Linked DNA regions of Sus scrofa. The protein of the gene in region 2 interacts with the protein of the main gene of each other region in a biochemical or structural test. Links are inferred from orthologs where the notes say so. Each region holds a gene or a part of one and is shown on either strand. Other genes may lie near its edges. The genes, in order: KCTD12 and GABBR2.

The links.
Region 1: the proteins of GABBR2 (region 2) and KCTD12 form a complex in vitro, tested with the Homo sapiens proteins (2 studies listed by BioGRID). The link is inferred for Sus scrofa from reciprocal best matches to the Homo sapiens genes GABBR2 and KCTD12.

Annotation. Positions count from the first base shown.
Region 1 is NC_010453.5:49,030,409-49,034,406, forward strand, and holds the start of KCTD12 (BTB/POZ domain-containing protein KCTD12), read right to left. Parts: upstream 2,801-3,998; 5' UTR 686-2,800; coding exon 1-685. UniProt on the Homo sapiens protein: Auxiliary subunit of GABA-B receptors that determine the pharmacology and kinetics of the receptor response. Increases agonist potency and markedly alter the G-protein signaling of the receptors by accelerating onset and promoting desensitization.
Region 2 is NC_010443.5:240,112,778-240,121,817, reverse strand, and holds part of GABBR2 (gamma-aminobutyric acid type B receptor subunit 2), read left to right. Parts: intron 1-1,255; coding exon 1,256-1,438; intron 1,439-4,484; coding exon 4,485-4,614; intron 4,615-9,017; coding exon 9,018-9,040. UniProt on the Homo sapiens protein: Component of a heterodimeric G-protein coupled receptor for GABA, formed by GABBR1 and GABBR2. Within the heterodimeric GABA receptor, only GABBR1 seems to bind agonists, while GABBR2 mediates coupling to G proteins.

The DNA.
Region 1 (3,998 bases), on a different chromosome or scaffold from region 2:
CGTCCGCCTGCGCGTCCCGCCCGATGGTGTAGGAGCCTCGGTAGCCGATGGTGATGTAGCCCGAGCGCCGGCTGCCGTCCAACGACTGGGAAGGCGTGAGCAGTGGGCCAGCCGCGCCCCCGGACGGGCTGCGGCTAGACAGCTCCAGGGTGGGCGACGGCGCCCCAGCAGAGGCGCCCTCCTGCAGCTCGGGCTCCGCATAGCCGAGAGGCAGCAGCTCGTCACCCAGAGAGCCCTCCTTCTGCACCCCGCGCCGCGAGTGCGGCGGCGGCGGCCCGGGGCCGGGCTGCTGGGGCGCCCCGAGGCGGCGCACGAGCTCGGGCAGCTCGAAGTACTCGGCCTCGCGCTGCAGCCGGCTGCGCTCTGGGAAGTAGTCGGGCAGCACGAGCTGCAGGTCCCGCAGGTAATCCAAGATGTAGCGGAAGAGGAAACCGTCTCGGTCCAGAAAGAAGCGGCCTTTGCTGTCCCGGGCCAGCTCCTGCGGCTGCTGCTGCGTGAACATGCGCCAAAGCAGCGAGTCGGGCACCGACACCACCGTGCAGCGCCGGGTCACATACACCTGGCCCCCCACGTTGAGCTCTACGATGTCAGGAAACAGCGGCGGCTCCGCCGAGGACGACGAGGAGCCACTGCCGCCGCCGCCGCCCCCGTTGGGTAATCCACGAGTGCTGTCCGCCAGAGCCATGGCCAAGAGGTGGCCGGGCTAGGGCAGTGGCCAGGAGCCGGGCCGCGCGCCGAAGCCGCCGCTTTCCCGGACGCTCGTTCAGCCTTGCGCCCCGGCCACTGCCGCCGCTGCAGCCGAGAGCCGCGCGGAGCCGAGCGCACCCTGCGAGCGCGCCGCTGTGCGCCCCCGCGAGCCCCGCTGCGCTCTGCCTGCCTCGCCCGCGCGCTCCAGGGGAGTGCCGGGTGGCGGCCCGCACGCCGCTTAAGTAGAGCCGCCCGCCCGAGCGCCGCTGCGCGCAGGAGGCGGGGGCGGCTGCGGAGCGGCGGAGCCTCGCTCCCTAGGCGGGAGGGGGCGGTGGAGCGGTGAATCGATTTGCATCTTAAACGCTGACGCCGTGGCCAGCTGCTGGCTCCACCCCGGCTCGCGCGCCGCCCGGGCGCCCCGACTTCCCCACCCCTCCTCGACCCGCGCTCCATCCCCTTCCCGCTCCCGCCCAACTTTCATCCTCTTCCAGAGTGGACGGAGCCTGGGATCTGCGCTTCGGCAGAGGAGCCTTCTTTGAAGAGGCAATCAGAACGCCCCTTTCCCTCCTAAGCGCTCCGGGGCCAGTGGAAGGAATACGTAAACTTTCAGGCTCTCCTCACCCGAAGAGTGGAAGTGCCTGACCGCCCCTCCTCCCCCCACCTAGCCGCTTTGAACACGGGAACTGTGCCTCTTCGTAAACACGCCGATCGCCGCGTTGCTGAAAGTTCCAGAGACCAAAAATATGGAAAGACCTCCCGCTGGGGTGGGCCCGCTTCAGCCCGGAGGCAGCTAGATTTTGTTCGCTAGGACGTGTAGCCTCGGGAAAAAAAAAAAAAAAAAAATCCCTACAAACAAAAAGTTAACCTCGGTATCCCGCTGCAGGATTTTCTGGGTAAAGACGCAAGCTCGTTAGTTGGGACTACCTCAAAATTGGAGGAAATGGGCTGAAATAGCAGTGGGGGAACTTGGGTGAGTTAAAGCAGTGGCTTCGGGGCGCGTTCCCCTCTAGGTAGCGGACGCTGCCTCCTGCTGAGCCTGAAGGGACGTGTTTGCCGAGGCCTAAAGGGAAGGCTCCGTCTCCGTGGCCCCAGGTGAATCGCGTTCTGAGACTTGGAGGGTTAGAAGATCTAATGTAATTTGGAGAACCTCCCTTTCAACCTCTGCGTCTTTATCCTCCCAGAGGTGCAGTGCCCCTGCTCCCTCGGGCCTGGGTCACTCCGTTCATCCCGCTCTAAATTCCTTCTAGTCTCAGGGTCCTCGAACACTGGAAGGCCCTCTCCAGATCCCTTGTGGTCTTCTAACTCCTGCTCCCTCCACATTCTCATTCGCCCGTTACCACGTGGCGGGTGGGGCCTTGAATGGCTCCTTCCACCTGCTCTAACCCCCACGCATTCTGAAATTTCGCATTTGTGAGTGATGATCTGATCTCTGACTTTGGTAAATAAAGTGCTCCTGAGAACCGCAGAAAGGGGACGGAAGAGTGGGTGGTGAAGGATGTCTAATCAGCAAGTCGATGAGTATCTATTGTGCACCAGCTATGTGGCCTCACTGGTAGAAGAACGCAAGGCTGAGTAGGCTCCAAAGCGCCATCAGTGTCACCGGGTAGGCAAGGGTCAGAGATCTAAGGAATTATCAGATCAAGTTTGAAAAACAGACTGTCAAATCAGTATATATCAGGCGAGATCTTTGTTCTTGATAAAAATGTTTCCCCTTTTACATAACTACCCAATGAGCTTTACAGTCCCCTCACGGATGTGTCATTTTCACTTAAAAGGTTTACGTCTGCTGAACAATTATCTCATTTCATGTCAGTGTACTAAGATCAAGCCCCAAACCAGCTCACTTAATTGCAAGTACAGATTTTGGTACTGAATTTATTTGACCACGCTTTTTTGTTTGGTTGGTTTTGTCTTTGATATAATAACAGCTGACACAAAAGTTCCAAGTTCCCATGCTGAATGCCTAGGTGGCTGTGCTACTATTTGTTATATCAGTGTCACAGACCTGGGGGGAAAAAAAAAGTCTCTTTTCTGTAAATCCAAGAAAAGCCTTCTTTGTATCAATTTTGTACATAATTTTGTACCATTACTTTTTTCATTGTAGCGGCAAATCCTGTCAGTTCTGCCTTCAGAATTCTTCCAGGCTATTCACATGTTTCACCACCACCCTGCTTCCACCTTTGCCTCCTACAGTGTTTTATCACCAGAACAAAAAGAAGGATCCTATTATAACCTAAGTCAGATCATGTCACTCTGCTCAAAGCCCCTCACTGGCATCTCATCTCAACAAAGAGTAAAACCCAGGAGTTCTTGTCGTGGCGCAAGAATCCAGCTAGGAACCATGAGATTGTGGGTTCGATCCCTGGCCTTGCTCAGTGGGTTAAGGATCCAGCATTGCCGTGAGCTGTGGTAGGTCCCAGACGCGGCTCGGATCCCGCATTGCTGTGGCTCTGGCGTAGGCCAGTGGCTACAGCTCTGATTCTACCCCTAGCCTGGGAACCTCCATATGCCAGGGGAGCGGCTCTAGAAAAGGCAAAAAGACAAAAAAAAAAAAAAAAAAAAAAAGAGTAAAACCCAAACCGCCAATGCCTACAAAACTCTACGAGATTGGGGCTGTCCCCTGAGGACCTCTCAGACCCATCCCCTGCCACTATCTCAGGCGCTCACTGCTTTAACCACGTTTCCAGCCCTACTCTTTTCTCAGGGCCTTTGCACATCCTGCTCGCTTTGCTGAAAGACTCATTTCTCCTCCCCATCTTATCTTCTTCACCTTGTTCAGGTACCTCCCTTCTCTCCTTCTTTGGGTCTCTGTAGCAAAACTTTCCCTTGGTCACCCTATTTAACATACAGCCCCACTCAAGCAGCGTCCCTTTCCCCATTTTGTTTACTGTTTCCCTGCATTAGAATATAAAGTTCAGATATTACTCAGCCATAAAAGTGAGTGAAATGTTGCCATTTGCAGCAACAGAGATAGACTTAGGGGACATTACACTAAGTGAAATAAGTCAGACAGACACATATTGTATGATATCACTTACATATGGAATCTAAAAGATACAACAAATTAATATAACAAAAAGGAAGAAAACTCACAAAGAACTTGTGGTTACCAATGGGGAGAGGGAAGGGGAGGGGCAACATAGGGAGGGGGGAGTGGAAGGTACAAACTATTGGGTATAAGCTAGGCTCAAGGATGTATTTTGTAATAACTAAATGGAAAGTAACCTTTAAAAACTGTGTACAATTTTTTTTTAATTTTAAAGAATACAAAGTCTAAGAGGTCATAGATTTGAGTTAGCTTGATTCATCAC
Region 2 (9,040 bases):
GAAGTAGTATTAGTGGGTCAAAGGAATAACCATTTTTAACAACCACTTATATTTTTCATTCATCTGAAGGGCTGACCCGAGAGATAGTTTCCAAACATTATTCTACCCAACAGAGGCCTTGACCCCTGCAGTAGGCTGATCTGTGTAGAAGGAAACCTGACCTTGGTGAGTCTCAATAATAAAGGAGTAGGAAACAGAGCTGAGAAGTCACTGATTCAAGTTGGGGAGTGTCTGCCTTTGAGAAGGGGGAGGAGAGAGAACTGGGGTCCCATGGCTCCTCCACCCTCCTGGGCACCCAGTTTGTCACCAGGCAGTGTCAGCTCTTCTCCAGAACACCTCTGGCATATATCCCTTCCTTTAGTTGTCAACACTTTCCCAGGCACCAGGCCACACCACAGATTCTCTGCCTGCACTCTGATGTTCCACCCTGTAAAAAATGCTAGATGACTCTAAGCCCGGCTCTGATCGGGTCACTCTGCTTTGTCACCCTCAAAAGCTCTTCATTGCCCTTCTGCCTCCAGGATCGAGTCCTCAACACAGGGCTGGCTTTCAGGACCCCTGGATCTCCTCCATCTCCCCGGAGAACCCTGGCCACCATCCAACTGCCCTTCTCTACTTGCATCCTGAGCCCCTGGCCGCCCTGCGTTTGCATGTGCCATTCCTTCCCCCTAGAATTCCCTTATCCTCACCCTCCTTTCAGACCCTCCATGGAGCCCAGCCCAGGCCACCAGCCCCATGCTGAGCACTCTGCCCTGGATGCTCTGGCCTGTTGAGAACCTGAGTCCTTCCTCCATCCTGCCCTTTGCCTCTGAACCATGAGGTCCTGGTGGACAGAGGCCGTGGTCATGGTTCTGGCAAGCACAAGCCTTCACTTTCCTCCCACTGTTTTCACAGTTGTTTATTTTCTACCTGGAGCAAAGCCTAAGGCAGAGTGGGGCTCGGCTGAAGCTGAGCCTCAGAGGCCTTGGGCAGGCCTGCAGGATGGCTGGCATGCAGGTGGAATCAGGGTCAGGAGACCAGACCTCTCCCGGCAAGGAAGGAAACTGAGACTCAGTGAGGGGAAGGGGCCTGCCCAGGGTCACCCACAAGAGCAAGGGACAGAGACAAGCTTGAGTCCAGGGCTCCGGACTCCTAGGCCGTGTCCTTCCCAGTGCCCCATGTTGCCTCCAGCACAAGACCTGCTGGGAACAGCTGGATGGAGGGTGGGAGGACGGACTCCAGGGTCCTCTATTCAGCCCCACCTTTGTCCTTTCAGCTCATCACTCTGAGAACAAACCCAGATGCAGCAACTCAGAACAGACGATTCCAGTTCACTCAGAATCAGAAGAAAGAAGATTCTAAAACCTCCACCTCAGTCACCAGCGTGAACCAAGCAAGCACATCCCGCCTAGAGGGCCTACAGTCAGAAAACCATCGCCTTCGGATGAAGATCACAGAGGTACCTCCCACGGCCCTGGTCACCAGGGCCCCATCCTCCTGTCTGCATCCTTCTGCCCCGTAGAGGGACTCTCTGAGCTGCCACCTCCCACCACATCCCCTCTGGAACATTCCCACAGCATGGCCTGCAGTCCCATCTCCTGTCTTTATGGCTGCAAGAACCAGAGGGAAGATAACCTATATAGAGGCAGTGTGTCAGAATCTGACAGGAGTTTACTGCCCACCTGGCCCAGGCTCGGAGGTCCATCAGTGGCTGGTTCTCAGAAAGAAAGGAGCTCCTAAGAGATTTATGAGCCCCTAGATTATAGTAGTTAAGTTGGGAAAACTCCACATCCTGTGTCTCCTTCACTGCTCACACACGACTCTTCCCTTCGACTCTTCCGTCACTAAATGGAGTTGGTGGCGGGGGTGGGGGTAGGCCCCAAGCAATTCTCTTCAACACCAGCCTGGCGTCCTGCAATTTAACTCATTCTAAGGCCATCTACCTAGAGTAGCAGACCCTACAGTTTAAAGGCTCTAACCTTCCCTAAGACTGTTCCCATCCTATTTCAGATGCCAGCTGCAGGTAGTGGGACCCAGGTTACCCACAGTTCTGTCCAACCTCATCCCAAATCAGAGGTTTCCATGACCCCTCCTTAGGTTCCATTAATTTTCTAGAGCAGCTCAAAGAACTCAGGGAAACACATTTACCAGTTTATAAAAAGACATGATAACAGATACAGATGAACAGCCAAGAAGAAATACAGTGGGGAGGGGGGCCTGGAGTGGGTCCTGAAAGCAGGAGCTTCTGTCCCATGGAATTGAGGTGCATCACCCTCCTAGCGTGTTTGTGGTCACCATGCCGGAAGTTTTTTGAACCTCTTACTATTGGGATTTTATGGAGGCTTCATCACTGGGCATGACTGATCATTAACTCTGTTTTCAGCCCTTCCCTTTCTCAAGAGGATGGGGGGCAAGGCTAAAAATTCCAAGCTTCTAATCATGGCTGATTATTTCAGGAGCCCACCCAGAGCTGCCTCATTAGAACGAGGACACTCCAACATCCAGGAAATTAAAAGGGTTTCAGGCGCATCTTTGTCAGGGTGGAGGCCAATATGTATTTCCTATTATCTCACAAGTAGCTTCCTAAGTGTGTTCCTCGCCTCAGTTTTTCACTCTCCCAACACAACCCAGAAAGCACTCATATCCATATGATGTACAGCAAGAGAGCAAGAAGTGAGGAGAAACTTCTGGGAGGAAATATTGGCTGCAACAGATCTCACTTTTGTTCTTGGCCTCCAGAGAAGCCATAACCAGATTCCTTTGTGTCCAAGCCAAACCTCAAATTCTGGACTTTCAACACCAGGGAAGGGAAACCAGCCCTCCCTCTGGGTTCGAAGTATGACCAGACCCAAAGTGTGCTGTTTTGGATACTGGCTAAGTTGCTATAACAGAGAGGCCCCAAAATAAAGTGGCCCAAAGAAGATATATGTTCATTTCTCTCTCACCTGACAATCCTGAGGAGAGAGGTCCAGGCTGCAGACAGTTCTGTTCCCCAAGGTCATTGCTAGATGAGACTCTTTTATTCTTTGTTTTCTCTAGTCCCCAAGGCATCTTCCTCACCAGTAGAGTTAAAGCTGAGTGGATGGCATGTCAAAAGGATCACCTTTTAAGCAGGTGACACACAAATTGCACACATTTTGGTTCTGCTCTAGTTACACTGGCAACAACTTACTTGATCATACTTATCCAGTGGGAAGGCTAGGAAATGTAGTCTCTAGCTGGACAGTCCCAAGGAATAAGTGAGATTGCCAGATTAGGTACAGGATGCCCAGTTAAATTTGAATTTCAGATAAACAACCAATCATATTTTTGTATGAGTATATCCTATACAGTGTTTGGAATAAACTTATGCTAAAAATTTAGATTCCTTGTTAGACATCCCATGTGGTTTGCAGCGTAACTACTCAGCGTTGCTTCTACAGGGGCTGTGGCTTGACCCCCGATTCTGCTTTGATATCAAGCCTTTCAGTGACTGGTGACACCTTATTTCTGGACCTTGATATTCAAATCCTACTTGCTCTTCCAGCCATGAAAAGTTCACTCAGTCTAGGAAACATGAAACCCTACCCAGGGGCAAAAATCCTAAATGTTGGGTTTTTCTACAACTGAAGCACAATCTGACCTCCTGCTGCTTACCCTTTGAACCTAGCCCTGCTATTTGAATCACACACAAAAAAAGGTCTCTCTCTCTTCCTCCACAGGAAAAATTATTAAACAGCTTCATGGCTGTGTGTTCAATATCAGAATAGCACTTTGTATTGCTATTTTATACCCCCCCATCTGTAGCAAGATCCCCAACTATGCTCCCCAGCTGCCACCCACTCCCCAGCCCTCGCACACTCCCCTGGCTTCTCAGGGGCTGAAATGTCCCGGAGCTTGCATCTGATTTTTATATAACCTGGAAGCAGCTAAGATCCATCCTGATTAACTCCTTTGCAGGAGTCCCCTGACCATGTAAGGCTCAGAGCTGACCAGCCCTACAGTTGTGTCCTCCCTGCCAAAGATCCTCCTAGCTATCAATAATAATAATTACAGTAGTAGCAGTATAGCAACCAGTTACCAGATTATGTGTCAGGCAATGGACTAAACTTTCACTGTGTTATTTAATCTTCACCACTCCATAAAAAAGATACTGCTGTTACCCCACTCTACAGAAGAAGGAGTTGAAACCAGCCAGTAAGGAAGGGGCAGCCCTGGTTTTGCCCAGCCCTGCCTCCCTAGGCTTGTTCAGCTGCTCCATCAAGGCTCAGGCCGGCACTGAACTCATCATTGCACAGCCCAGGCCCCTTGCATCATTGCTTCTCCTGGAACAAGAGATAGGACAGGCCCTGGGCATCTCTTCTCCAACACACAACAGTCCCTCTAGCTCTGGGTCCCCTCAAAGCCAGTCGGAGGCCTAGCCCTGTGACCCTGCAAGCTGCTTCTTAGCTCTGAGGCCTAGCTGCCAAAGTGAGGGCAGGGGCTGGGCCAGAGGCTCTGACTCAGCTAGAGCCTTTGTCTTCTAGCTGGACAAAGACTTGGAAGAAGTCACCATGCAGCTGCAGGACACACCAGAAAAGACCACCTACGTTAAACAGAACCACTACCAAGAGCTCAACGACATTCTCAACCTGGGGAACTTCACCGAGAGCACAGGTAGGAGAAGGCAGGGCCCCTGCCTATCAGACAGCAGCCATCCAGCTTCCATTTTACAAATGAAAAAATAAGCTGGGGTGGTGAGGGTGGTCTGAAGCCACACACACAGAGCTGGAGCATCTAGAACCCGCATCCTCTGAGCAGGGTCTGTTTGAACTATGCGTGGGGCTCCAGTTCCACGTGTACACCACACGGCCGGCATTCCCAGTGGTCCAATTGGGGGCGCGCTGTTCTTAGCGAACAGTGTACTTGTACTTCTGCCAGTAACATTTCAGAGTCTCAGACACACCTCGTCAATGTACGGGAAAGGAATGGTCAGTAAAATGACATGATGCTTAATCCCAATCCCTTGAGAAATAACACAGTCCATTTGGGGCCTACATTTAGGCAAACTTTTTAAAAACATTACCAGTACTGGTAAGGGCGTGTGGAAATGGGCACACTCCTGTAGTGTTGTGGGAGTTGGTCTGGCGCTCTCCAAACAGCAGATGTTAAGCCCCTCGACTAGCAATTCCCCTTGCAGGAGGCTGCTCGTGGGTAAAGGTGTCGACACACATAACAGTACTTGTAGGTGAGAAAAGCTGGAATTACAGGTTTGTCCTTTGGGGTGGTTTCATTAGTTATGATACAGGCAAACAGGGCTATTAAAAAGGGAGGTGGATCTATTTTTGCAGCTATGAAAAAATCTCTTTAACTGAGAAAAACAAGATGAAGACCAGCATTATGATGCACACAACAGCACACACACATATGTGTGTCTGTACGTGCATTTTTTTTTAAGAGTCTGGTAGAACAGACACTAGATTGTTAACAGTATCCACCCGAGGTGTGAAGGGTGTGTGTGGAGAGTGGGTGAAGGGGATTCTTTTACCTTTCATTTTATGTACTTCTTTCCTGTTTGCATCTTGTCATTAGCATATATTCATTAATTTTATCAATTATTTTGTTTAAATCAATGAAAAATCTTTAGTTTCTTGTATTATATAAGTATTTTATTATAAAAGCAATATTATAAAATTCTTATTATGTAAGATATTGACTGTAAAAAAATGTTTAGATTGGGATAACAAATTGAAAGAATAAAAATTATTCCTAGTAATTTTTAGTATCTAATTTGAAAAGGTGGGCATTTCAAGTTAGTGAGGGAAAATAAATTATTCAGTAAATTTCATTGGGATAAATGGGTATCCATCTGAAAAAGAATGAAGTTATATCCTTATCTCACAACTCATACAAAAATAAATTCCAGAGAGATAAATGATTTAAACATAAAATGTGAAACCATGACTATAGTAGAAGAAATCATGGAATTTTTTTGTCATCTCAGCAGGGGGGAAACCTTTTCAGCTTGATGCAAAACAGAAACATCACAAAAGAAAAGGTTGATAAATTTAAATACAAAGAGTCTTCTAACAATGAGAAAGCCATCATAAGTAGAGTCAAAAAAAATCAAACAACAAATTAAGTCAAAAGATATTATAACTCAGGTAATGAGCTTAGTCCCTTATATATAAAAAGAAATTAGGGGGTTCCCATTGTGGCTCACAGGTAACAGACCCAACTAGTATCCATGAGGACTTGGGTTTGATCCCTGGCCTTGCACAGTGGGTTAACGATCCAGTGTTGCCATGAGCTGTGGTGTAGGCAGCAGACATGGCTCGGATCCTGTGTGGCTGTGGCATAGCCAGCAGCTGCAGCTCCAGTTCCACCCTAAGCCTGGCAACTTCCATATACCCCAGGTGCAGCCCTAAAAAGCAAAAAAAAAAAAAAAAAAAAAAAAAGAAAAAAGAAAAAAGAAAGAAAGAAAGAAAGAGGTATTATATGAATTACAAAGTATATATACAAACTAATAAGAAAAAAGATATGGAGTTCCCGTCGTGGCACAGTGGTTAACGAATCCGACTAGGAACCATGAGGTTGCGGGTTCGATCACTGGCCTTGCTCAGTGGGTTAAGGATCCGGCATTGCCGTGAGCTGTGGTGTAGGTCGCAGACGTGGCTCGGATCCGGCATTGCTGTGGCTCTGGCGTAGGCTGGCAGCTACAGCTCCAATTCGACCCCTAGCCTGGGAACCTCCATATGCCGCGGGAGCGGCCCAAGAAATGGCAAAAAGACAAAAAAGAAAAAAGATAATAAACCAAAAGAAAAATGGGCAAGAGAGTTCTCATTAAAGGAAATATAAGTGGTTCTTGTATTTATGAAAAGATGCTCAATCTCGCTGCTAATTAAAGGATGCAAATAAGTCTGCAATGAGATACATTTTCACCTATAAGAATAGCAAAGATTAGAGACCAAAGAGCTACTGAGAGTGGGAGAAAACAGGTGGGGAAACACTGCCACTTGAAATAGAAATTGTTCTGACCCAGCAAGTCCACTTTGGGAATTTATCCTAAGGATATACAGTCAACTCTTGTCATTCACAGTAACTGCGTTCTACAAAGTCCCTGTGAACCGTGAATTTGAGAGGACTGAGCCGTGGCTCTCAGAGGAGACACGGGGTTAGGTTCCTGCAAGCCTCTCCCAGGGGGACATTTTCGTCAATACATAACTTTGTTCCATGCGCGATTCTGCTGGAGGACACCTTATTTAATACATATTGGTGACTGATGACACTGAACTCACAGCCAACAGAACTCTCACTCATGCCTGTGACGCGCAACTGACACACGTGTTTTCTCCATCTGGCACATCATGCTTAGGAACACTGGACAGCACTACGCTTAGGGGCCATTTTAAACAGCGAAAGGACCAACGCAATGCACAAAGATGTTAACAATGTGGTATTTCATAGACTACAATAAGGATACTCATTTATAGTATAAGAGCTGAAACAAGAAGACAGAGCCTTGTTCGACCTCTGCTAGGGGAGCAACTCAAATGTTTTGATGCTCTGTGTGTGTTATCAAATGACAATGAAAGCATCACGAGTATTGATTTTGGGGTTACAAGTAAATTTTAGCCCATAGGCAAGTTCGCAAATACAGAATCGGTGAATGAGGAGCACTGACTACTCACACAATGCAAACTGACACACACCTAAGGTTGCCCACTGTGGCAGAAAAAGAAAACACCCCTCCCAACCAAATGAATCCAGATCTGGCAGGTGAGGGCCCTGTTTTTACTGAGGGGCGGGGCTGTGAGCCCACCTGGATTGTTGTTTGCCCTGGGGCTTCTCGGTGCTGATGGGTGGGGCCAGATTTTCCCAAAATGGCCACCTCCAGAGAAAGGCACGCTGATGAATATTCCTGAAAGCTTTGCTCCCAGTGTCCTTCCCGACAACAAGCCACACTCACCCCTGTTTTCCCAGGAGGTCCTCTAAGAACTGCAGTCAGGTCTGACCCAGATTCCTATGGAAACTTTACTTTGTCCTGGGACCCAGTGCACGTGAAAGTCTGTGTGTGCCTTTTAAGAATGGAGCTCCTGCACACAAGCCCCACTGGCCTTCAATGCCAGATGCTCTGGGGGCTCTGTCTCCCAGTGTCAGATCCCCATGTGTGGGGGTTTGATGTGGGGCTCAGAACTCTCACTCCTGTAGGTGAGTCACTGTGATACAGTTACTTTCCAGTCTGTGGAGCTTCCCACCTGGGAAGTATGGGGTTGCTTCTATCTCATAACTGTCCCTCCTACCTCTTGATGTGGCCTCCTCTTTGTCTTTTGGAGTAGGATGTCTTTTTGAAAGTTTCCGGGGGCCACGTTTTTCTACTTCTTTAGTGCTACACATGGTGGTTCTGAAACACAAAGAGGGTTGAGAGCATCACGTTTCGTGGCTACACAGTATTTCTCTGAATGGAGGCCCGTACATATACAGTAATGTGTGTTACTGGACAAATTTGGGTTAGTTCCAACTTTGTTATTGTAAAATATCTTGTATACATCCCATACACATCCTTAATGATTTCTTTGGGATGGTTCTTGGAAGTGGAAATTCTGGGTAAAAGATACTTTTCATAGTGTTTGATGCTTACTGACAGTGCCTCCTGGAAAGATTATGCCAATTTATTCTCCCACTAGCAGTTTACTGTTACTCTTCTTTTCAATCCTTGGCAATCTTATGTAAAATATACCTTGAAGTTCCTTTTTTCTTTGTCATTACATTCCTAATGCACCTGTGAAAAGGGCCTTCGTATTAGAACCTCTCATTTCTAAGTTATGCGGACTACACTGGTTGACTTGATTCTCTTTTTTCCACATCCCTGGCACAGCATTTCCATCCCTGGACAGGGGCTTCTCGGCTCCCTGCCTTGGTCTCCGGAGAGTGCCTGCAGAGACCACAGCTTAGAGAAGGCAAAGGGAAGATGGGGTCTTCTGCATTCTCTCTCCCTGGGCGGTATCCTAAAAAATGACTGCACTGTTGATTCTTTTAAATTAACAGAATATATTGCAATATTGTTGTTTTGCATTCAGATGGGGGGAAGGCCATTTTAAAA